4 linked regions of the Bombyx mori genome follow. The protein of the gene in region 2 binds, or shares a complex with, the protein of the main gene of each other region. Links are inferred from orthologs where the notes say so. Each region holds a gene or a part of one and is shown on either strand. Other genes may lie near its edges.

Region 1 (5,695 bases), on a different chromosome or scaffold from region 2:
ATTATACAGGCAGTGATCAATTTCCATGTTTAATTCAATAATGATAAGCAATCTTCGATCAATAATACTACTAGATTCGCGATTAGCGCTTCAAAAACGGCCCGAAAAATAAGACCACAAATAAATTTGTGGTCTTATTTCAAATTAGTATGGTCCAGTCATAGCCAACACTAAGACGTCAAAACGCTGCAATGCGCGTTCAAAAATTGAGTAAAAAACCACCGTAACACCAAGGTTTTGGAAGGAATATCTTTTTTTGGTAAATTTATATTACTAAGTGTTTTTCATAAAATAATAAACACAATTATATTGTAAATAAAACACAATTTACGAATATTGTAATTGTTTGGCCAATGTTTGCAACAAGGCACCAACTATTGTAACAAACATCACCTATTCTTGAACAGGGAACGCATAGAGTAGTTTTGTTATTTTATAATGTTATTTTTGTTTGTAGATTTCCTAGTAGCCCCTTGTCGCTGTGCACAATGGATATTTAATGTCGCGAAAGAAAGAGGAGAAGAAATATAGAACCCTTATAAAAAATCTAGAATTGTTCAATGGTGGTGGCAAATCAATGCAAAAAAGTATTAAAAAAACTTTATATGTATGTGTAAATATTTTAAGCGTATATGCTGAAAAGGATTTGTTTTCTGGGGGAAACGAACACAGCCATAAAATAAGCCTAAATTAAACTGATTATAGAAAAATTCATTGATATAAGATTACATTATATTTGTAAAAAAGAAACCGCTCATATAAAAATGACTTCTAAAAGACAGCTTTATAACAAACTGAATCTGTTTAAAGGTAATTAAACCTACATTATTGGTTTAATAACTTCTGTATAAAGAATACGTGGAAAACATGTTTCGTGTTTCCTTTCATATTTTTTTTACTTTATTCAATTTTATTTCTTATCACCTATTTGTTGTAATAGCGGCAATGTAAAATATTATCTACTACTTTTTTAAATCGGTCAAAAATAGTTGCGACCATACAAAACAAACCTAAAACAAATATGTATATTCTGCAACTCTATGTCTTTCAATACTTACTGTGTTCTGAGCATTGAAATGTAATACCAAGAACTACATCTAGTTCCACAATACAATAAGCACGAAATTTTAAACAAATATTTTTAACCTTATAAATTAGGCTTTAAGTATCATTTTAGAATAAATATTTTTGTACTGATGTCTTTTTAAGTTCAAGTGACATTTTAAATTTATTCCATAATATTCTTTTTCTGACGAAAGGACCTAAATACATATATTTTGCAATGGTAATTAAACTTTATGTTTAAGTATTAAGGTTTAGAATAAACTGAAGTCGTTAACATTATTAAACTTTTTTCTAAGAAATGAAGATGTTTTCGTGTCTGCAAACGTGGCCACTGGAGCGTCTTATTTTTGTTCCTGATCTTTAATCTAGTACTATTATTGATCGAAGTAAGCAATAGATTATTGTTAATTAAATTTTCACACTTGAGTAAGCGTTAGTCTGACGTAATACAGCAAGATCAAATTCATCTAAGCCTACTGAATTTCTCGCCAAATCTTCTCAGTGGGTCGCGTTTCGGATCCAGTGGTCGATTCTGCGAAGCACTGCTTTTGCTACCTGGACCACTATGGGAACTAAGATCGTAGAATATGTTCGGGTCAAAAAACGAGTTTCTTTTTTTTTTGTAGGCTATGAACAGGAGTTTTAAAACTCCACGAAATTTGAACAGACCATAGCCTGAGGTCTGAGCTCTGAGGAATTGATCGAGATGATACCGGCATATCGTTTTTACCATCGCATCGCCCGCCACCGGAGTAGAGTTCATCCATACTACCTGGAGCCACTGCGGTCATCCACAGTGCGTTTCCAGAGGTCTTTTTTGCCACGTACCATCCGGCTATGGAATGAGCTCCCCTCCACGGTGTTTCCCGAGCGCTATGACATGTCCTTCTTCAAACGAGGCTTGTGGAGAGTATTAAGCGGTAGGCAGCGGCTTGGCTCTGCCCCTGGCATTGCTGAAGTCCATGGGCGACGGTAACCACTCACCATCAGGTGGGCCGTATGCTCGTCTGCCTACAAGGTCAATAAAAAAAAAGCCGCATCATTACCAGTACCACTTTATACACCGGGCATTTAATTCTTTTGGCGATGACAATTTTTGTGTTTATTTTGTTATTAATGTGTAACAATAAAAACAAAATTTTACTTAAAACAATTTAATTTTGCAGTTAATTTTATATATCGAATTGATCACGAAAATAGAGGCAGATGGTATTTATTCCGAGCTATAAAATTAAAAAATAACTTTTTTTTTTTATAGAAAATCTTTTTTGCGATACATGGTGCACGCAATGTATTTATTGGTCTCCAGAAAACCCCTGCCAGTTGCTTATGCTTTAGATTACGGGTTCTGACGAAATACGCAATCCTTATGCAATACTTATCATTATTTAAAGGAATATCACTTCACGTAGGTTTATTCCTCAATCGACGTCAAGAACGACTTCACAGATTGCATTATGTATTAGAATTATCATTTGCAAGTAGATGTTGGCTAACTATACTAATTATGTCTTGTACGTCCTCTTCAGATAATCTCTCCTCACTCTCTTGTACAATCTGTGAAGAGTAAAAAACTTGACTTGACTTGAGACCTTTTTTTATTGCTCAGCTGGGTGGACGAGCTCATAGCCCACCTGGTGTTAAGTGGTTATTGGAGCCCATAGACATCTACAACGTAAATGCGCCACCCACCGCTCGAAGCGGATCCATGGGGGAGCCCGTATAGGCTGGTGCGCGGCAAACTGCGCCCGTGGGCCCCCCCTTTGACTGAGCGACTTCAGCCTCAACAGCTGCGGGACATCGTTTCGGCGTTGTTCCCGCAGGAGCGGGAGGGTTTTGTTCCCCCTGCTATGGGTGAGCCGTCGGACGCCATCGACGGCGAAGCCCCTGCTGAGGTGCCCCGTATCACTGGGGCAGAGCTCCGTGTGGCCGTTGTCAGGATGACTGCAAAGGACACGGCCCCCGGCCCGGACGGAGTCCATGGCCGGGTGCTGGCCTTGGCCCTCGATGCCCTGGGGGACCGGCTCCTGGAGCTATTTAATGGTTGCCTGGAGTCGGGACGGTTTCCGTTGCTCTGGCGGACGGGCAGACTTGTGTTGTTAAGAAAGGAGGGGCGCCCGGTGGATACAGCCGCCGGGTATCGTCCTATCGTACTGCTGGACGAGGCGGGAAAATTGCTGGAGCGTATTCTGGCTGCCCGCATCGTTCAGCACCTGGTCGGGGTTGGACCTGACCTGTCGGCGGAGCAGTTCGGCTTCCGGGAGGGCCGTTCGACCGTGGATGCGATACTTCGCGTGCGGGCCCTCTCGGACGAGGCTGTCTCACGGGGTGGGGTGGCGCTGGCGGTGTCTCTTGACATCGCCAACGCATTTAACACCCTGCCCTGGTCTGTGATAGGGGGGGCACTGGAGAGGCATGGAGTGCCCCTCTACCTCCGCCGGCTGGTTGGCTCCTATTTGGAGGCCAGGTCGGTCGAATGTACCGGGTACGGTGGGACCCTTCACCGTTTTCCGGTCGTGCGTGGTGTTCCACAGGGGTCGGTTCTCGGACCCCTCTTGTGGAACATCGGGTACGACTGGGTGCTGAGGGGTGCCCTCCTCCCGGGCCTCCGTGTTATTTGTTACGCGGACGACACTTTGGTCGTGGCCCGGGGGGATGATTATAGAGAGTCTGCCCGTCTCGCCACAGCGGGAGTGGCCCTCGTCGTCGGGAGGATAAAGAGACTGGGCCTCGACGTGGCGCTCAGTAAATCCGAGGCCTTGTGGTTTCACGGGCCGCGGAGAGCGCCACCTGTCGACGCCCACATCGTGGTTGGGGGCGTCCGGATAGGGGTCGGGGTGCAGTTAAGGTACCTCGGCCTCGTGTTGGACGGCCGGTGGGCTTTTCGTGCTCACTTTGCGGAGCTGGTCCCCCGGTTAATGAGGACGGCCGGTTCTTTGAACCGACTGCTCCCAAATATCGGGGGGCCGGATCAGGTTGTACGCCGCCTCTACGCTGGGGTGGTGCGATCGATGGCCCTGTACGGTGCGCCTGTATGGGCTGAGCCGCGCAATCGGGCTACTATGGCTCGGTTCCTGCGTCGGCCGCAGCGCACCGTTGCTATCAGGGTCATCCGTGGATATCGCACCGTCTCATTCGAGGCGGCGTGTGTGTTGGCGGGGACGCCGCCATGGGAACTGGAGGCGGAGTCGCTCGCTGCCGACTATCGGTGGCGCAGTGAGCTTCGTGCTCTGGGCGTGGCGCGTCCCTCCAAAAGTGAGCTGCGGGCGCGGAAGGCCCATTCTCGGCGGTCCGTGCTCGAATCGTGGTCGAGGCGGTTGGCCAACCCCACGTGGGGTCTACGGACCGTCGAGGCGGTTTACCCAGTCTTTTATGACTGGGTGAATCGTGGCCGAGGACGCCTCACCTTCCGTCTGGTGCAGGTGCTGACTGGGCACGGATGCTTCGGAAAGTACCTGCACCGGATAGGAGCTGAGCCGACGACGAGGTGCCACCATTGTGGACACGACCTGGACACGGCGGAGCATACGCTCGCTGTCTGCCCCGCATGGGAGGTGCAGCGCCGTGTCCTTGTCGCAAAGATAGGACCAGACTTGTCGCTGCCTGGCGTCGTGGCGTCGATGCTTGGCGGCGACGAGTCTTGGAAGGCTATGCTCGACTTCTGCGAGTGCACCATCTCGCAGAAGGAGGCGGCGGGGCGAGTGAGGCAAAGCTCTCCTCACTACGCAGAAACCCGCCGCCGCCGAGCAGGGGGTCGGGACCGGGGTCCCGTCCGTGACCCGGCCCCCTAAGGGCTTCGAGCTCCACCCGCTTTGTGCGGGGAGCAACCTAGGCGTGGGGCGGCGTGGTAGGTCGCGTTCCCCCGACCGCTCCGGGGGAAGGTGTAGCGCGGCGCTATCAATCGGGCTCTTGGCCCGTCGACCGAGGGAACCGGCGGTCGTGTTGCTGGCGGCCGCCGGTCCGGCGTCTGGGGGACGGCGGGATGGATGTAATGTGCACTGCGTAAACCCTGTCCCGCCGTCTCAATAGCTCCGACTGGGTTCCCACCCGGTCCGGGGTAGGGCGCCGGCTGTGAGCGGCAGGAGTTTTTAGTGAGGTTCGACTCCCACATACCCCACCTGCTGTGCGGGTGGGGATCCGGCGATTTTCTCCTGTGGAAAAAAAAAAAAAAAAAACCCACCTTGAGATAAGTTCTAAGGTCTCAGTATAGTTATGTTACGCCGGTAAGAGTAACGTCATCTATCGCGAATAGTCAAACGAATATCGAAGGACATAGTAGCATCTAGAACGCTCGAGAAATACAACGCCATCTATTGTCAGATACCGGAAGCACAATACTAGAGATGTGTGGAATATTCTCGATAATTCTAGAGATGTGGTATCGGCTATAAAAGCGTTGTAGGAACTACTCGAAGCGAAACAGCGAACGGATCACCTGAAGCGAAGCGGAAGAAGCGAATTGAGAGTTTTAAAGTGTTTGTTGAGTGTTTTAAGTGTTGAATACAGTTTTAAGTTGTACTTTGCTGGAATTTTATTTATCTCGAACCCCAGCGCGTAACAGTTACAACGGCTGCCCCACCCTTCAAGACAAATACCAGTAGCATTCCACTGTTCAAATATCATTAAATTT
Region 2 (6,326 bases):
GGAGAAATAGTGTCATGGCGGACGTCGCTCGCTGACATTTTGACGTTCAGAAACTGAACAGTTACTTAATAATTTTTTTGATACGTATTGTAATTCAATCAATTATTAATTATACTCACGTCGTGTAGATTAATATGGAACAAATAGACGGCCTTGTTCATGCCGCCGGCCGACGCGGTTTTCCTCATTGGCTGAAAAGAATACCTATGTATTAGATGAATTATTAGAAATATAATCTATATTCTATTTACCAACTAATCTGTGCTTTTTATCATTATTGCTTACACCAGTGATATTATATCCATTTATATTAAGTAGTTAACAGAGTTTATAGACATAATGACTTGAATATTTTTTTTCCTATCTATGCTGATAGCCTTGAGAAGCTATTTCAGCTTCGCCCTAACATGTAGGTGAGCTCACCGACCTCAAACCGAAAGTGTTGCTAACACTGACCCTAGCAAGAGCAGTGCTTCACAGAATCTACCACCGGATCGGAAACGCGACCCACTGAGATGATCCGGCGAGAAACTCAGTGGACTGTGTCTGTGGGTTAATTACCTGTCGCTTGCAACGGGTTCGGTGAGGTCGAAGGCTCATATGAACGCAGTGCTGTCCATATGAGCCTCCGACCCTGCAGATCTTGGCTCTGAGTCCGACGTGAACTGAAGATCATTTCGAGAGAATCCGCATCAGACGGTAGACCTCAAATTTGAAACCGAAAGAGTCCGGACATACTATACCCACCTGTAAACTAATGAAATGCTCTTCTAAAAGTTTATACGACAGCTCTTTGCATTCCTTATTTGGTAGCATGGCGTTTTTTTGTACGTCATCCTCTTCTATATATTTCTTATCGAGAATTATTCTGAAAAAAAATATACAATAATTATAAAAAAAAAAACATATTTTTTGACTTCATTGTTATAAATGGGCGAACGAGCTCACGTCTGATCTGGCGTTAAGGTCGAGAGCCCATGGACATCACGAATATTAAATTGTACACCGGCTGGCTCAAATTCGAATTAGAATACGGAACTACGGATAGGTGGTGGATGTTTTGTTTGATTATACCCTACAATCAATAATATCGCCTCATTAACTAATCAATCGATGAGACAATGAAAATCTGTTACTGAAACTGCTACTCGCCTACCGATACTACTATTTCGTGATATCTTTGGCACAAATCAAAGTATTTTAATAATAATTACAGACCTTAAATCGTCGATCGATTAATCGGTGTGTGACTTTTCGTGGAAATGTGCCGAGAGAAATGACGTGTGATTTTTTTTTTATTGCTTAGATGGGTGGACAAGCTCATAGCCCAGCTGGTGTAAGGGGTTACCGGAGCCCATAGACATCTACAACGTAAACGCACCACCCACCTTGAGATATAAGTTCTAAGGTCTCAGTATAGTTACAACGACTGCCCCACCCTTCAAACCGAAACGCATTACTGCTTCACGGCAGAAATAGGCGGGGCGGTGGTACCTACCCGCGCGGACCCACAAGAGGTCCTACCACCAGTAAAAAAAAAGCAAAGTTTAACCTGAATATCCTGGCGGCCTTGTAGCCCAGTCTCTCCGTGACCAGCCCCTCCAGCAGCGCCAGCAGGCACCCCCGCGCCGCGCCCGCCCCCCGCACGCTGTACCCCCGCCCCCCCGCGTCCGCCCGCACCGTGCCGCACCCGCTCTCCTCTGTCACACGCAACGCACTCTTTTTTTTCCTGCCTAAGCTAATAAGTTTGAGAGGCTATGTCAGCGTAACGTAAGCGTGTTGCTAACATTAACCCTAGCAAGAGCAGTGCTTCGCAGAATCCACGACCAGATGGTAAACGCGACCCACTGAGAAGATCCAGCGAGAAACTCAGTGGGCTATGTCTATGGGTCAATTTACTCGCCGGGACCTACGTCACAAGCGACGGTTTCGACGAAAACGATGACAGGTGCTTGTGGTGCCTAAAAGCACCGATAATGGATCGGGAGGATCCGAAATGACGCGTCAGATTCACCATAATTCAATATTACTTCAACTCATAATTTATGAATTTTCAATTGTGCATATGTATGTGTATAAATATATATTTCACTGGATTAGTACACCGCACGTAAGGATCTTCTCAGCGGATCGCGATTCCGATCTGGTAGTAGATTCATCCGTGAAGCAGCTGCTCTTGAGTTGTTAGGTCTCCTTTGGAGGTGCTCGGGCAGCTGTTAGCAAATCCTACCCCTTCTGGCTGAGCCTTTGCTCGCCCACCCGTCCTGGTGAAACTGGCAAGGCCTCCAGGCCACCAGTAAATCTTCAATCATAAAAAAAAAATATTCGTTTCCAAATGAATCTTGTCTACCTGATGTTTGTCTGGAAGAGATCGCTCTTAGCGATAACACCTCCAATTGTACTTTTTTATTTAACGTATCGCATTGTTTTTTTTTTGGGTGCACACTAAAGAATACTCACTTACTCATAAAAAAACCTCACCTAAGACCTTCAGATATTGATCGAAATACTGATTCAAGAGGGGCTTGTCAGCAGCGGCCCGGAGACAAGCCTCCCTCAATTCCACGGCCGGCACTAGTGTAGACTCTGCAGCCCACGCCGGAGACGTCAGGTACATGTGTTGCAGCATATGACGAAGAAGCTCACCGGCTGGAGAAGAATACAAAATTCACAACTCATCAGAGGAACTCCAAAGATATCAGTCTGTCCGGCTATTCATATGACAGCAATGCTCGCCGCAAACCTCGTTTGAACAATGACATAAATGTTTGGTTGATGTTGATATATTTTTTTATTGCCCTTGTAGGCAGACAAGCATACGGCCCACCTGATGGTAAGTGGTTACCGTCGCCCATGGACTTCAGCAATGCCATGGGCAGAGCCAAGCCGCTGCCTACCGTTAAATACTCTCCACAAGCCTCCTTTGAAGAGTGACATGACAGTGACATAGTGCTCAGGAAACACCGTGGAGGGGAGCTTATTCCAAAGCCGGATGGTACGTGGCAAAAAAGATCTCTGGAAACGCAGTGGGTCCAGGTAATATGGATGAACTCTACTCCGGTGGCGGGCGGTGCGGTGGTAAAAACGAGATGATGGTATCATCTCAAACAATTCCACAGAGCACTCCCAGCCAGAGATAGCCAGTATTCTCAATTCCTAGGACACTGAAGGCAAATATCAAACCTGTAAAAGTCATAAACTTCTTAATTACAGTAGAGCGTCTTGTGAGCCCGCACAGGTAGGTACCATTCTGCCGCAAAGCAGAGAAAGCAATTGAGTCTTAATCTTCTTCATCCACATATGCAAAAACCAATCTTGGGTAGAACAAAAAAAAATTTCGATGACCTCTAGCATTGCTAACGTATCCCTGTGTCTGCCTCGAAAGACGTTTAAAAAAGAAAACAACATTCACCGTTTTCATCTATTCGTCTTGTGATTGCTTTGATCATAATTTCGTCGCGGATATCCTGATGGAACCTGTCGTAATTAACTTTCCAGTACACATCTGAAACAATAACATAAATATCTCAAATTCTTATTTAATAAATCAATATTGACCAATGGCCTACCAATCTGTCAAATATCTTATATTCAAACATTCATTCATGACTCATGTTGTGGTTTTTATATTGGGGTATCTATGATCATTTAAAATCAGGTAGACCATTAACCAGTCTGCCCAGCATGACCCATCAAAGCTCAACAATGCAGCCTCTCACATCATCTACACATTATAATATTCTTCTTCATTTGATTTGGAATTTGAATATCATTTTCAACAGAGACATCCATAGGTGATGCTCGGACTTATTATTAGGTGGAATGCCAGGCTTTCTTTGACAACAATATCACTAACTTTCGCAACGGTATCTCCAGTTCATATTCTGTTGTTCTACGAGCAGTATTCAATGGAAAATATAATTTGGATCGTGTTAAAATTACTCATTGAGTATCATGTTTAACAGTGACATACATAGGTGATGCTCGGACTTATTATTAGAGGGAATGCCGGGCTGTCTTTGACAACACTATTACTGGGTTTCGCAATGGCAACTCCAGTTCATACTCTGTTGTTCGACAAGCAAGATGATATTGAAATTACTCACTATCACTACTTTCAGCTAGATTTCCAGAATTCATAATTTTAATGACAGCTCGTACATCAATCTCTGGTGTTATAGTTGCGACGGGCACCAGTGTCGGTATCTCGCTGCCTTCCTTCAACTCAGCTACAGATGCCTGCTGTATGTAACCAGCGGTTATCAGACTTATAAAGATATCTTTTAGTTTCACTATAGTCATGTTCTTTTCCTGGTGAAGAAAGCAATATTTATCAGAATAGCTAAAAGAAATGAATACAAATAATTTGCCTAGTAATAAGGAACATTGTATAAATCAAAATATTTTGTGCTTATGGTTTTTTATTATTGCCCTTGTAGGCAGACGAGCATACGGCCCACCTGATGGTGAGTATGGTGAGTATGGTTATGGACGTCAGACAACTACTACCATAAATTTACGCATTATTAGATAACCATAGTAATTATAGTATGTGATATAATATATATTATATTGTAATGTAAAGTAATAAACATTTTGAGTAAAATGGGTTCTTTTTGGAATTCCAGATCTTAAAAGGATAAAAAGAAACCGTTATAGAATCATTTTGTTGTTTTTTTCTGTCTGTCTATCTGACAATGGATATCCGAATTTTTTTTGCATATTCCTGAAACTCAAATTTAAAGCAATGTAATAACAAGGATTTATTATTTATATTGTTAGAGTTATCATGTGCACTGGCCACAACTTAAATTAGGCTTTCTATAAGTTTTTCCTTCTACTATCTTATTTATCATATTAAATGTAAATTGTTCCTGCAAATAAACTGAGAATGCCAGATCTAAATATGCCACTTTAGTGGTGGTGCTTATAAAATGACTATGAACTAAGTACCTTGTCATCTTTATATTTAACAGCAATGGAGACTAATAGCACGGTAGCAGTGGAACATGCCTTTTGTAACAACTCTTCAATCAATATTTCTGCTTCACTACCGTACTTCGTTTTAATTTGTAGTAAATACCTGAAGAAAATTAACACTAATCATACCAACATTTACTGCAGGGGTGGGCAAAAGCCGGCCCGCGGGCCGGATCCGGCCCTTTTGCTAATTTTATCCGGCCCGTTGAAAAATTCCGCACATAAATTTTTTTAAACTCTTTTATGAGATTTTGTTGACATCAGCATTAAAAAAGCATATGCGGTAAAAAAGCATATGCGGTATAGTCCTCCGGCCCGGGAGACATTTTGAAAATTTCATTTTGGCCCGCGCTTTAAAGTATTTGCCCACCCCTGATTTACTGGTAACTATTTATATCATAGCTGGTGGATAACGGTATACGACAAGTATTACTCAAAATAAACGAAACAAAACAGACAGAAAAAGTATAATAACAGTAGATTAATTGGGAAGAAAAAGTCATGAAGTCAAATATGCAAAAGCAATAAGATGATACGTGCATTTTCAATGCAAAAGTTCAAAATGGGCATTTAACCCATTTACGATATGTTAATAACTATCAAATATAAATTCATTCATCTGCAAAAGTGACTGTTACTTCTTCCTCAATTTTTTATATTATTATACCGTTTTTATGGTTGACACAGATTTAAGAATTTTACAATAGATTAATGGCATGAGGCAGTTTGGAATGAGGCAATAGATTAATTTCAGCTTAGCATACAGAGCTATCCCAGTCTCACCAAATACTAACAGTCCAGTATTGGAACTGCTTATTACCGCATTTGAATAATGAGTGACAAACGTAAAATCCATAGTATGCAACAGATGTAATGCTCTGTGAAGCCAAAGTTATCCTACTGTCTCTTCCCAAAGACCAATGCATTTTCTACTGTTGTATACTGAATGTTAAACTACCCTGTAGTTGCTGTATGTAATCAGCCTTAATGTATATTTTAAGAATTAGGATTACCTGTACTATGAGACTGATATATTTGGAACCCTGATGAAGAGCAAACAAACTTGTTTGTCACATTGTTTTTGCACAATGTGGCAATGGAACCCACAACCCTCAGTACAGCAATCAGGACAAAAACTACTTCAGAGTCAATTAAACATATAATATAAATAAATAAAACCATATTTTAGATTTAATTGATGTGAATAATACCTTGGATATCTAATCATCAAAAGCACATTCTCCGGAATTAATCTGTAATCTGCAATTACTTCATTTGGAGTTGGTTCAAACATTGCCAAATCATACTTCAGTAACGTTCGGAGACTTTCTACCACCTGTAATGTA
Region 3 (6,872 bases), on a different chromosome or scaffold from region 2:
CTATTTTTAGGCAAAGTAAAAAAGAAGCAGCCAAAGAAGCCAAGCGTGAAGAGGAGATGAAACACATCACAAGTACTATCACAGATTTGTATTTTACTGTGCAAAAACAACAGACACAACTCCGAGAAATGGAAAGGCTTATTCATTCTATTGGTATGTTGTTAGTAAATAAAACTAATTCTGTTGCACCTGTAAATTTTTTTGGAACCATTTACATTATATAATATGGTCTTTTTGGTCTTTTCTTAACATTATAAGGTTTGAATGAAGACTTTGAACTTAAAATGATAATAGTGTTATTATGGGTCGGGTTTATACACTGTATAAATATGAGTAAAATTTATTTATTTATGAACAAGTTATATAGTTGGTTGAAAATATTTACCAAACTGCCTTTTTTGCATGTTGCTATGTCTATAAATCTGATGTTCAAATGAACTGTAATTGGAAATGTGGTTATAAAAGCCTAGTCTTCACCCATAGATCAGTTATAGACCAGCTAAAACTATCATTAAGCCACTGTTGTGGAAAAATAATAATTTTGTTTAAATATATCTTAATAGAAGGTTCATTGTTGTTATTTGTTGATTTTTAATGTCTACATAATCAATATGGACATGTGCTTCACAAACAAATTGGACCATTTTTTATTTTCTATTTTCTATAAACACCAGTACATAGAGATGTAAAATCATACAAAACATTTGCAAAATAATTTATACTGCCAATTTTATTATTCTCGATTTAGGAAAAATATAATATAAAGTACTTTATAGATAGAATCTTTCATATATTTGTAACCTGTTCTTTTAATTTATTCAAAGATACTGATTTATGATGGTGTTAGCATACATATTTCTCAGACACTGTAATGCTTCCCAAGGGCAGCAGTAAGAGTTAAATCTTTACTTTTTGCTTATCACTAAGTTAACATAGTTCCAACTAATTCGAACTGTTGGTTTGCAATTTGTTTTGTTGCTTCTGACTGGCGCTAAAACTCAATTTATGAGTATGGTTGGTACTTGAGTCTGTCATGCATATTTATTGCTTGATATCATGTGGTGTACAGGTTCTAATTATTTTATCATCTCAGAAATTGTAATATTATCAATATCACACACTATGGCATGGAAATATTTAAACTGGTGACAAAGCTTGCTGATAAATTTTTTCTTAGTATTGATTCTAAGAACAATGTAAATATATCAATCATCAATTTATTTTCTATTTTTAATAGGTGGAGATCAAGCACCCAAAAACAGCCCATCCTCTGACAAAGATAGTACAAATGGGAGATCACCACCAGATGCCACACTAAATAATCACGTTCCTGAACATATAAATCACAATTCACCAACTCTTAGTCCCACACCTTATCCAAATAAAGGCCTAATATTGCAGTCGTTGAATTATATACAAATGGACGCATTTAGCTCATTTTTCCCCAAAAATAATACTGAATATGAGAAAGAAAGAGATGAAGATAAATTTACAAGAAATAGGAGGGAGCCAGCTGTACTCTCTGGTATTTTGCATAATATCGAGAATAATTTTAGAAGTTTATTTTGAGGATTTTACAGTATAAATTACACATTGTACTTGCATTAAAATGTTGAAATGACCACTAGAATGTTAAATAATTTGTTGCAAAATTGTTGTTGACCATAACTAATTTGCAATAAATTGCTTTAAAACAGGAGCCTTCTGTGTGACAAGTTATAAAGTAGACTTTTCTCAGTTAAAAGTTACGTAATTTTAACTATATAAAATTATCTACAGTTATAAAAGTATTGGTTTTTCAAATGTGCACACAATATTCATATTGTAACTAAGTATTCTATTGTTAAGTAATGTTCTACAAATATCTGTTTTAAAAGCAAAAATTTTGAACTTATAATAGAATTAAAATAGTATGTGTTTTCAACAGAAATATATTATTTAATGCTTTTAAGTATAATGTCTCTAGTCACAATTTAATTTGTAGAGGAAGCTTATATTCTTTTAACTAGATCAATGATACTTATTTAAATAGGTATTAAAAATGTTATTAATTATATTTTTTTTTTAATTATTCCAACCATTCAGTCATATAATTACAAACTTGTGGAGTAATTAGTCCTGAGGAATTACATCTTTGAATCAAGGGGCATATTCCACATGGCACTTGAACAAGGCCTGAAGATGGTATAAGAGTTTCTATAGCTCTATATACATTACTTCCATCGGGAAACACACTTTTTTCTACCTTCCCATCATACACTAGGGTGTTTAAAATTGTTGTTACATCATCAACATCTAATACAACCTGTAAAAGAAAAGTAACACTAACAAAACGTTGATGTAATAATAAACATCATATAAGTAGATATAAATGAAACATTAATTAATTAAATCTACATGGTATTTTAAAATGTTCGCTGACCAAGTTAGTGTATTGTGGTAGGACCTCTTATGAGTCCACGCGGGTGGGTACCACCACCCTGCCTGTTTCTGCCGTGAAGCAGTAATGCGTTTCGGTTTGAAGGGTGGGGCAGCCGTCGTTACTATACTTGAGACCTTAGAACTTGTATCTCTAGGTGGGTGGCGCATTTACGTTGTGGATATCTATGGGCTCCAGTAACCACTTAACACCAGGTGGGCTGTGAGCTCGTCTATCCATCTAAGCAATAAAAAAAAAAAAAAAAGTTAGTGTATGTTTGTAAAATCTTACTTTACTAATTCCCAGATCAGTAATATATTTTTGGACTTCAGTAGCAGTAGCATAAGCTTGTGTTCGTCCAAAAACAGGTCCCCTAGGATTGTTTCTCATATTATCAGCTCTTTGACTCAAGAACCTGTGGCATTGTACATTGAGGACATCTACAAACTCGGATTCAAAGTCTTGGTCTTGGTACCAAGCTCCCCCTGTCAATGATCTATCTGGTTCCAAGTTGTAAAGCATATAAACCTTCTTTTTAGAGGCCTGTGAATTAACCAGGTTTAAATTGTAAGTTAAGTATCAGATAGATCTTCGTTGATTTAAAATTAAATTTACTTACATTAACACATTTCACAGCTTTTATCACTTTTTTACTTTCCAAATTTTTGAGGACTTTAGTCAGTTGAGTGTTTGCAAGATTCGAACGGATCCTAATATCTCTAATCCAAATTCCTTTATTTCCTGCTTCTTCAATCAGATTATAGACTACCTTTTCTTCATTATCTGCTCCTTTGATTGCGTGCTTATTTGTTTGAGTTTTCAACCTAAAATGAATAAAATTTAATAATATTATTATTATTAATATTATTTCAAGTTCTTTGAAAATTCTTCTCTAAATCTTCCAATTCTTCTCTAAAAATTCTATAAATAGACTATATTTATTAGTTACGCTAATATCTTTAGACACCTTCATTATTTTGCTAACGTACTTATAAATTAAAGATCCGTTTTGATTAAATAAATCAAAACGTTCTTGTTTCAGCAGATCATTTAAAGCAGTTACTAGTTCTACTGATGATATGCCAGGTATTTCAGCAATTATATCCTTGTCTGTAATTCCTTTCGAGCTTTTTCTTGCAAGATTTAGTATTTTCTCTTTTGTATCTTCGGAACTCATTTTTGGAAAATATTAAGCGTTTGTGTATTAGATTTATTAGAATATGCTTTGGGGCTTGGGCTAAACCATGGAGTTAATAAGTACCTTAGTTAGAATAGTAACTCTATGGGCTAAACAAATATATATATTTTTTAAGGGATTTTATGACCTGGTAACTAAGACCTTTAAGTCATGTCTTATTTTAATTTATATTCATATTTTTATGAAAAATGATATTATGGAGTGAAATGAAATAAAGATGATTAATTTGAGACATTAATCAACTGGGATGAAATTAAATGAAATGAGATGAGATGATATGGGATGAAATATAATCTCAGTAAAATGGAGGTCATTTACTGAGACTTTTTCAGTGGACTTTTTGGAGGATCCCGAGAAGTTACGTTCAGCGGCTTTGTTTCATTTTCCCACATTTGTGCAATTTCACAGATACTAAGCAGTTAATAAGCCTGAAGAAACACTAAATAAACAAAATAAAACAATACACACAACTTCACTCCTCGCGTTCCCGCCAAAAAATTAATTTCAATCAGCCACCTTGGCTGAAGTTTTTACTCCTTTTTCACAAAAATGTAGTTTTGTGACTCTTTGATAAGACACGCCTCACCAAATCATTACTGACGCAGGATTATGACTACGTTGTTCCTTTGATCACTTGAGCAGAACACTTCTTTATAGCACTTCTTCAGAACGGTGTGCATACCCTAAATTATACTATCACTTTGCTTATTGTAGTGTTCTTCAATCGTGAAAATTGTTTTATTGGTAAAGAGGATATTTCTGTGCCATTCACCTGCACACAAGACGTTTGGATCGATCCACTCTCTTTAATTGTAAAGATCGATTTAGGTCATGTTATGTACATCGAGGATAAGCACTGAACTTCAGGTCTTGTTTTATAATCTGCGACAGTCCTAGCGGGAATCATCATTTTTCGCTGTTGCGACGAATTCTGGCTTTAACAGCATTAGTAGCCTTTGTAGCTCTAGCACCACGAGGCCGCCCCGACCTTCTCTGGTCTTCGACAGACAAAGTGTTTTTGTATCTGTTCATAGTACAATTTACGAACATACGGCTGATACCAAGCTTTTGAAGTGTCTGGAATATGACCGACGGCTCCATATCCACTTTGTGTAAGGCGATTACTGCAAACCTATTTTCTTTAACACCCTATTCCATATTGTAATTTGATAATGAACACGAAAAAATATGTGAAATGGCGCAAAATCGAAAGAAGTTGAGGGAGTTCATATAGAGTCTTTCTTTCGCCGTAAAGTCGTGTTTTATGTAATTAACACCACAGTTGAAACAATATAAATTTTATTGATGTAGCGGCATAAACAATTCTAGCTAATTATATTATATTAGTTATTTTACACATTATAAATTGTTTTTACGTTTTAAATATTTGGCGGTAAAAAAAAGGTCCCGTGTCACAGACTATATTCTGTTTCCCACCTCTCGTGCGTTCCGGCTTACGCATCATAAAAAGGTGCGTACTTAAACGCCACAAAGTTTTTAAAATAATATACGTGTTCCAAATTCAAAATCATTATATAGTTGAAAAAAAGAAGTTTTTTTTGTAACAGTATTTATGGCTCGATTGGTTATATAACGTTAGGAAAAAAATATATTGTTGGAGTTTGTATATTAAATGTAATGGCAGGCAACACTTGACACTTGATTAGATTTCGAATATTGGAATTAATTTAAATGTTTAAAAAAACAGATCATTGTATTCTCGTAAGAAAATGTCAGAACTTCTCATCTAGACACGGCAAGACAAACATGTAATAGTTTTAATAAGTAAAAAAATATAAAGATAATAATTGTATAATGGTTTAAAAGTGTTCAAGCAATCTGCAATATAATTATAATGAAGCAGTTGTGTTTTTAAATAGTCCCTCATCACCTACAGAACCCAACCCCTTAAAATGTAACCATCCAACAGGTTATGGGCCCAGCACGCTTCCACTGCGTTACTCTGCTTTCTCGACTCTAACCCTTAACTCCTTCTCGACTCTAACCCTTTGTATCCAGCAATAATTTAATTAGCTTTCTCCAAGCTTTATAATTATCCTTATTTGTGAAAGGTTTTATTTTTATTTTAAAGGTAAAAGAGTCGAGTAGGAGTTAAAGGTAAAAGAGTCGAGTAGGAGTTAAAGGAAGGTTATAGAGGTCGAGAAGGAGTTTAAGGTTATAGAGGTCGAGAAGGAGTTTAAGGTTATTAAAGAGGTTTGGAAGGCGTTTAAGGTTATTAAAGAAAAGCGCGGGAAACTTCGTTTATGGTAGACGTATTTTTCACGGTGGTGAAAATTTAATTTAATTTTATAGTTAAAACGCGGAGGATAAGCTGGTAGTGTAAGTTTTTGTAATATATGTAATCTTTGTATCATATTTGTGTATAGTGTCATCGTATAGTTGGTAAGTTTTTGTAATTTTTGTAAATATTGTATGAACGAGCCCCCCGATCTCGATCGGGGGGATGATGGCTATGTTGGCCTGAATCTCCCCGTGGGATCATATGTAACTGTTGTTTCACAAGATGAATTTGATAAAATGGATACGGATTGTTCGTTATCATCTCAGACAGGTGAAGGAAGTCGTAAACGAACACGTTATCTACGCCTTTGTCGGCAGTGTACGAAAAGGAGAAATAAGAAAGGTGGTTCTAGCGGTGATTACTGTCAGTGCGAAAGTTTATGCAATATGGAAGATGAGTCAATTTTAATAAAAAAGATTACTTCTAAAAGTTCTAAACCTATATCTCAATCGACGTCATCTTCACACTCGCAAAATAATATTAACTCACATAAAACGTCCTCTCAACCATCAACATCTTATACGGAAAATTCAAATATCTCTCAAGACTCTAACGCGGGAAATTCAAATATCTCTCAAGACTCTAACGCGGGAAATTCAAATAACACGAAAACTACAGTAACCAATACAGACTCCCGTTGGATCGGCCGGACTGAATATGTTCTTACTGATGTTTCCCCTTATTTGATACACGTTCAACGTATACAAAGTTCACCTGATGACGGGACCGTTCTCCATCCTATAACTTTCGGCAATTTTTTAAAGCAGAACAAATTTGAAAATATTATTCCCGGTAGTGTAAAGCGTATAGGAAGAAATAGGTGCGTAGTTGGCTTTTCCGATTATAAAGACGCCAATAACTTTCTTAACTGCAATCTTTTGGAAACGAAAAAGTTAAAAGCCTTCATTCCGACTTTCAACATAACAAGAATGGGGCTAGTTCGTGGGGTCCCT
Region 4 (5,988 bases), on a different chromosome or scaffold from region 2:
CATCTATCAGAATACATTTTTAAAACCAAACTGTTTTGTTGCAATTGAGATGATACATTGACGTTAGTTCCTATAGATTTCACCTTACACAATGAATGAATTCATTTTCATGCCATAATTAAAAGCTATTGTTAAAAGTGAAATGACCATGGCTTCATACAACCGTATCAATATGTTAGTTTAAATTGTTTGAATGATTCATCATTTGTTTTTATAAATCCACGAAACATTCTTCCAATCTCCCGTACAACTGAGTTCTGTGAATCATAGCTACTAAATTAATACAAAATCATTAATCAATCATTAAGTAATGATGTTGAATTCAATCAATGAATGACTCTATTTTTTTTAATGATAACATTACATTCAGAACTTCACAATTCAGACAGGAGTAAGCGTTTAAAAATAGCTGAGCTTTATTCAGTTTGATTACTCCTAAAAATTAAATGAATACTGAAAATTAAGCCAGTCAATAATTAAAAACTCAAAGTAATTGATTACAGGCATCGGTTCATCAGAGAGGCATTCTTCAAGTCGCTCGTACTACGGGCGGGACACAGAAAAAACTACAAACATTATGAAGAAGCCAGCTATCAGAGTAAAGGATTTCGTGAAGGTATTTACATTTAAATTACATTCATCGGTTAATTTTGTTGTAATTAAAATCGTGTAATAAAAATAAAAACCGCAAAATTGTAATTTGCGTAATTACTGGTGGTAGGACCTCTTGTGAGTACGCACGGGTAGGTACCACCACCCCGCCTATTCCTGCCGTGAAGCAGTAATGCATTTCCGTTAGAAAGGTGGGGTAGCCATTGTAACTATATTGAGACCTTAGAACTTATATCTCAAGGTGAGTGGCGCATTTGCGTTGTAGATGTCTATGGGCTCTAGTAACCACTTAATAGCAGGTGGGCTGTGTGCTCTTCCACACATTAAAGCAATAAAAAAAAGTGACCTAAATCCACTATCTATATCTTTCTAGATCGACAAAGAACTGGAGGAGAAGAAGATAAATATGATTTTAAGAGGAGGCGATACTGACGAGCTGGAGTCCATCGACTTTAAGGACATCCTCGACAGGGACGCACCCATCAAACTACCCATGGATGATGGGAGTGAGTTTCTAATCAACTTTCCTGTGTTCATCCAGTATTTTCTATGTAGCGTCGGCTTAGAGAAGCTCATCATCTCCACTCGTGGTTGTGGTGAGGTTGTAAGTGACGAACTGGAGTTAGCTGATAGCGTCCTGCCTACCTCGGTCGTGAAGCACAGGGGTTACACTGTACATTGAGGCTTTCATTTCAATTCTCGAGATTGGTACCGGTATCCGCACTCTGATCTATACCGTCCATAACGACTTCACAGATTAACAAATTCCTGAACATTGGAATGGTATTTTTATAGGATTTAGGATCTATCCAGCTACGGTCCCTTTAAATCAGCGGTCGGGGAATCGAGGTAAATTACCCGAAATGGGGTAATATGAAATTTTGTGGGGTAAAAATGAAACTTTTGTGAGTAAAAATTATATATATATATATTGAAGTGAAACTTCTTTAGAATCGTTGTGATTTCAAATTATCATGGGGTCTATAATATGAAAGATGCTAAAAGGAAGCGATTTCGTTTTTTTTTGTTCTTCGCCATGGGGTAATATCAACTTACACAAAAATATTTTGGGGTAGTAATTAAAAAAGTTCCCCGACCGCTGCTTTAAATTAATGGTTCCTCCTCCCTGAGTCGCATTCCTCATGTCTGAGGGTCGTGACCATCTCCTCCCATCATCCCTCTTTGGATGATGTTTCCGCATCTTCAATATTTACATAAATACATGTCTTTGACAGACTGGGCCAAGACTCATGCGAAACCGAAAGTCAAGGTTAAAGAAGAGATTGTTGTCAAGACAGAACCCCGGGAAGATGGCGACTGTGTTAGTAAGTAGTCTCAATATTAGAGTACCTTTTTTTATGAATGTGTGATTATTGGTGGTCAGGAGGCCTTTTTAGTTTTACCAGGACAATTCGGCGAGCAAAGGCTCAGTCAGGAGGGGTGGGATTTGCTAACAGCTGCCCGAGCACCTCCAAATGAGACCTAACAGCTCAAAAGCAACTGCTTCGTGAATGAATCTACTACCGGATCGGAATAGCGATCCGCTGAGAAGATCCGGCGAGAAACTCAACGCGCTGATGTATGAGTTAGGTTGCACGTTGAACTCTTTGTCGAGTTCGACGAGTACGGGTCCCTAAGCTTGCTCCTAGTGTTACAGCTGAAGGCGTCTAATGCAAGGGTTATTGAATCTGATGGATCCCTAAGGGCGTGCTTAGGGCAGCTTTTGGTTAGAGTCTCATACCCGATCCTGTGGACCGAATGGTAAACAGTCGACGTCGCCCTAAACACGTCATTACGGATCCTCCCGGTCCATTAACGGTTCTTTTAGGTCACCGCCCTCGTCGAACCCGTCGCTTGCGACGAAGAGCTCGACGAGTAAATTAACCCTCAGACACACAGCCCACTGAGTTTCACACCAGATCTTCTCAGTGGGTCGCGTTTTCGATTCGGTGGTAGATTTTGCGAAGCACTGCTATTGCTAGGGCCAGTGCTAGCATCACTCCCAGTTAGAGCCCCGTGAGCTCACCTACTCGCTCGGTTACGCTGACAGACTCTCAAGGCTATCAGCTTAGGTAGGAAATAAAAGTTAGAGTCTAGTCTAGTATTAGCGGGCTGTGTCTATGGATGCTATTTCCACTTTTTTTTTATTGGCAACACCAAAACACGGCTTTAGTTACTAATTAATAAAAAATAAAATCGGTATAGAGAATGCTATTTATCTTTTTTAGTTTTTCCTATATACTTAAGTATATAGATTATGTTAAATGAATAGCGTTTTTATTATTTCCAGTAAGCACACCAGAACGAAAGCCAGACGTGAAGGAAGCGTTTGAAGATACCGACTTAGTGAACTTACTTAATAACGACAAATCAACATTAATTATGTTGCAGGTAACTCCCTCCTAATATATCGTTTCGATCCTGAAGTTGTGTCCTGCCACGGATGGCAACCGTTGATGGCAATGACACGGTTTTTGCCGCCAAGCAACCGCGCGTTGCAATTCGTAGTCATTATTACAATTAAAACTTAAATAGATGAGACCCGGATACTGCTTATTTACAAGAAAAAAAAAATGATGCGCATATTACTAGTGGTAGGACCTCTTGTGAGTTCGCACGGGTAGGTACCACCACCCCGTCTATTTCAGCCGTGAAGCAGTAATGCGTTTCGGTTTGAAGGGTGGGGCAGCCGTTGTAACTATACTGAGACCTTGGAACTTATATCTCAAGGTGGGTGGCCCATTTACGTTGTAGATGTCTATGGGCTCCAGTAACCACTTAACACCAGGTGGGCTGTGAGCTCGTCCACCCATCTAAGCAATAAATAAAAAAAACTTGGTGCACGTGAAAGAAGTGAAACTTCTTTTGCGGTGCGTAGTAATGTGGTTTTCTTTATTTGTCATCAGTAAATCAAATTTCTCTTGTAGGTAATAAGGAATGCTGTGTGTAAGAGAAAGAATTAGCTCGCTTTGTTGCTATCCGCCTCTCCACGGTCGAGTTGTTCGCGAGACGCTCTGTCTATTTTCTCACTCTCACTCTTCTTAAATTGTATTTTTTATCTCTAGCCGTAACGAATCTGTCGCGATTTAAATTTTACTCTCAACGCGCCTAAAGAAGTTTCACTTCAACTAATTCGGGAGCGCTTTAAAGGAACCTAAGGGCCAGTATTTCAGGATACGCTGACGACAAGGATTTCTCTGTACACATAAGGACTTTAAAACACACTACAACGATAATGTTAGCTAATAATATTTTAAACTTGTAAAGAACCGGCGAAACAAATTCAGTCATAATATGCAACTTCAAAGTTTACAGACGTCATTGTACGCTTCATGAAAACGTTTTAGCTTCCCTCGAGTCTCCCGGGCAGAGGCGGCCGCGTCGAGGACGACGTTCCCCGGAGGAGGACCAAGAACGAGCCCGGCCCGTCCGCCGGGGGGGGCGCGGACCCCGGCGCGGCGGACGAGCAGGAGGTGCGTGTGTTTCAACTTTATAATCAACAACCAGGGCCGGATTTAAACTTAATGCCGCTCCTGGGCAGCGGAAAAAATCCGCCCCAATACTGGAATTTTACCTAAACTTATAATTTATATGGTGGTACCCACCATCCTGTCCGGTTCTGCCACGAATCGGCCGGGCCATTCCGATTTGAAGGTTCGGGACAGTCGACGACATGAGTGGATGAAGGGGATATGATACATTTTGTTAATTTTGAGAAAACGGGCAACAAACTTTTGTTACGTGTACTTTTTCTTCGTACACAACTCCTTCATCAAATGCAATTTCTAAAGATAGTCTTTAAACCCGGAGTTTGAATTAAGGTGTTATGTGCCTATTATTAGAACTTCAAACTCCGGGCTTAAAGGCTATATAAAAACTAAATCTTAAAAATGATACTTAACCCCTTCATCCACTCATGTTTCAGTCGTTATACGATATAGTTGAGACTCCGACCGGTGTCGGCATTCGCGTATTGATGTCTATGAGCTCTGATATCCACTTCTCACCGTGAGATAGATCATTGTCGATAAAAAACAAAAATCTCATATAGTAATTTTTTGGGTGGCTGGTGCATATCCGTGTGCTTAGTGCGAGTTTCTTAACATTCTCGATAGCGTAAAAGTTAACCAATTTTGTATGCAGTTGGAACAGCGCCCCTAGCGGCAAACGTACGCAAACGATCCCATTCCATACAAATATGAGCTAACTTTTACACTACCGAGAAAGTAAAAAAACTCGCACTAAGAACACAGATTTAAGTTTACTTTTACGCGATCGAGAACGTTAAAAAACTCACACTAAGCACACTGATGTAGAGTAAAACCGATGTGTTGCTCTCCCAGGAGGACAACAAGTGTCGCCTGACGGACCTCGAGGAGGGTAGGATCGGCAAGCTGCAGCTCCACAGGTCGGGGAGGGTCACCCTGGCTTTAGGAGAAACTGTATTTGAGGTAACCCTTTCTTTTGTATCATTTTTAATACGCTTCATAAGTTATTATGTAATGAAGTCTTTGAACATGATTTTGACCCCTCCAAAATACGGATTAACTCGAAATTTGGCGTACTTATCCAGGACCGATGACAATTCAATATTTTAAACAATTTGACCCGTTATTTACTTTCGCCAGTCAAAACAACAAATACATTTGAGCGCCTTCTTTTTTTTACTTAGCAAATTGGAAATTATTGAATTGGATAGGATAAGGATAATCCTTCTGCTCATATCGTATCACACTCACTCATATCTGTCAATAAAATATTTATAACTAAGTATTGACATCATGCACCCCACACCTTGATTACTATAAATTTATTTTCTATGTTTTTAGTTGGATTTACTATAAAAGCGGGTTTTTAAGTTTTTTTTTAAAACATATTTCAATGGTACTCTGGTTTTTGAATAGTGGTGACTCGCATTGAGTCCGCAAGGGTAGGTACTGCTTTCGTGCTTACTTTACTTAAACTAAAGCGACATGCGTTACGTCGAACGGGCTTCAACCTCAACGTCTCAAGGTAATCGTGAGGTCAATGGGATCCGGTAACTACTAAACACCAGGTGGCGCGTTTTAGAGCAATAAAAACCACTAGATCGGACTCGCCAATTATTATTTGTAACTGTATTTATTGGTGTCGTTAAAATAATTTAAGATTGTGATTTTTTTATTATATATTCGAACTATGATAAAAATGTGTATAGGACACGTATTAAGTATCCAAGCAATACTCGAACTAATAATTATCATAATAATAATATCTCCTAGTATTTTGTGTAATAGCTATTGTATTTTCGTGTAATAGGTATCGATGGGCACAAAAGCTGCGTTCCACCAAGAACTGGTTTCTGTAAGTACTGATGACGCGTCACGCTCAGCCAAG

The links.
Region 1: DNA-directed RNA polymerase III subunit RPC3 (region 2) and calcitonin gene-related peptide-receptor component protein share a complex: the UniProt entries of both Homo sapiens proteins name them as parts of the RNA polymerase III complex. The link is inferred for Bombyx mori from reciprocal best matches to the Homo sapiens genes POLR3C and CRCP.
Region 3: DNA-directed RNA polymerase III subunit RPC3 (region 2) and DNA-directed RNA polymerase III subunit RPC6 share a complex: the UniProt entries of both Homo sapiens proteins name them as parts of the RNA polymerase III complex. The link is inferred for Bombyx mori from reciprocal best matches to the Homo sapiens genes POLR3C and POLR3F.
Region 4: DNA-directed RNA polymerase III subunit RPC3 (region 2) and DNA-directed RNA polymerase III subunit RPC4 share a complex: the UniProt entries of both Homo sapiens proteins name them as parts of the RNA polymerase III complex. The link is inferred for Bombyx mori from reciprocal best matches to the Homo sapiens genes POLR3C and POLR3D.

Annotation. Positions count from the first base shown.
Region 1 is NC_085116.1:2,994,060-2,999,754, forward strand, and holds the end of calcitonin gene-related peptide-receptor component protein, read right to left. Parts: intron 2,623-5,695; coding exon 2,521-2,622; 3' UTR 2,208-2,520; downstream 1-2,207. UniProt on the Homo sapiens protein: DNA-dependent RNA polymerase catalyzes the transcription of DNA into RNA using the four ribonucleoside triphosphates as substrates.
Region 2 is NC_085120.1:9,120,214-9,126,539, forward strand, and holds part of DNA-directed RNA polymerase III subunit RPC3, read right to left. Parts: intron 6,317-6,326; coding exon 6,192-6,316; intron 5,084-6,191; coding exon 4,954-5,083; intron 4,312-4,953; coding exon 4,107-4,311; intron 3,506-4,106; coding exon 3,413-3,505; intron 2,650-3,412; coding exon 2,482-2,649; intron 1,734-2,481; coding exon 1,553-1,733; intron 869-1,552; coding exon 748-868; intron 192-747; coding exon 120-191; intron 1-119. UniProt on the Homo sapiens protein: DNA-dependent RNA polymerase catalyzes the transcription of DNA into RNA using the four ribonucleoside triphosphates as substrates.
Region 3 is NC_085131.1:5,844,618-5,851,489, forward strand, and holds the start of DNA-directed RNA polymerase III subunit RPC6, read right to left. Parts: upstream 3,703-6,872; 5' UTR 3,597-3,702; coding exon 3,409-3,596; intron 3,244-3,408; coding exon 3,039-3,243; intron 2,963-3,038; coding exon 2,711-2,962; intron 2,306-2,710; coding exon 2,069-2,305; 3' UTR 1,570-2,068; coding exon of another isoform or gene 1,238-1,569; 3' UTR 154-1,237; coding exon of another isoform or gene 11-153; 3' UTR 1-10. Other genes in the region: putative OPA3-like protein CG13603, read left to right, coding at 11-153, 1,238-1,569. UniProt on the Homo sapiens protein: DNA-dependent RNA polymerase catalyzes the transcription of DNA into RNA using the four ribonucleoside triphosphates as substrates.
Region 4 is NC_085113.1:12,566,454-12,572,441, forward strand, and holds part of DNA-directed RNA polymerase III subunit RPC4, read left to right. Parts: intron 1-503; coding exon 504-616; intron 617-985; coding exon 986-1,118; intron 1,119-1,847; coding exon 1,848-1,937; intron 1,938-2,902; coding exon 2,903-3,003; intron 3,004-3,959; coding exon 3,960-4,085; intron 4,086-4,955; coding exon 4,956-5,063; intron 5,064-5,910; coding exon 5,911-5,988. UniProt on the Homo sapiens protein: DNA-dependent RNA polymerase catalyzes the transcription of DNA into RNA using the four ribonucleoside triphosphates as substrates.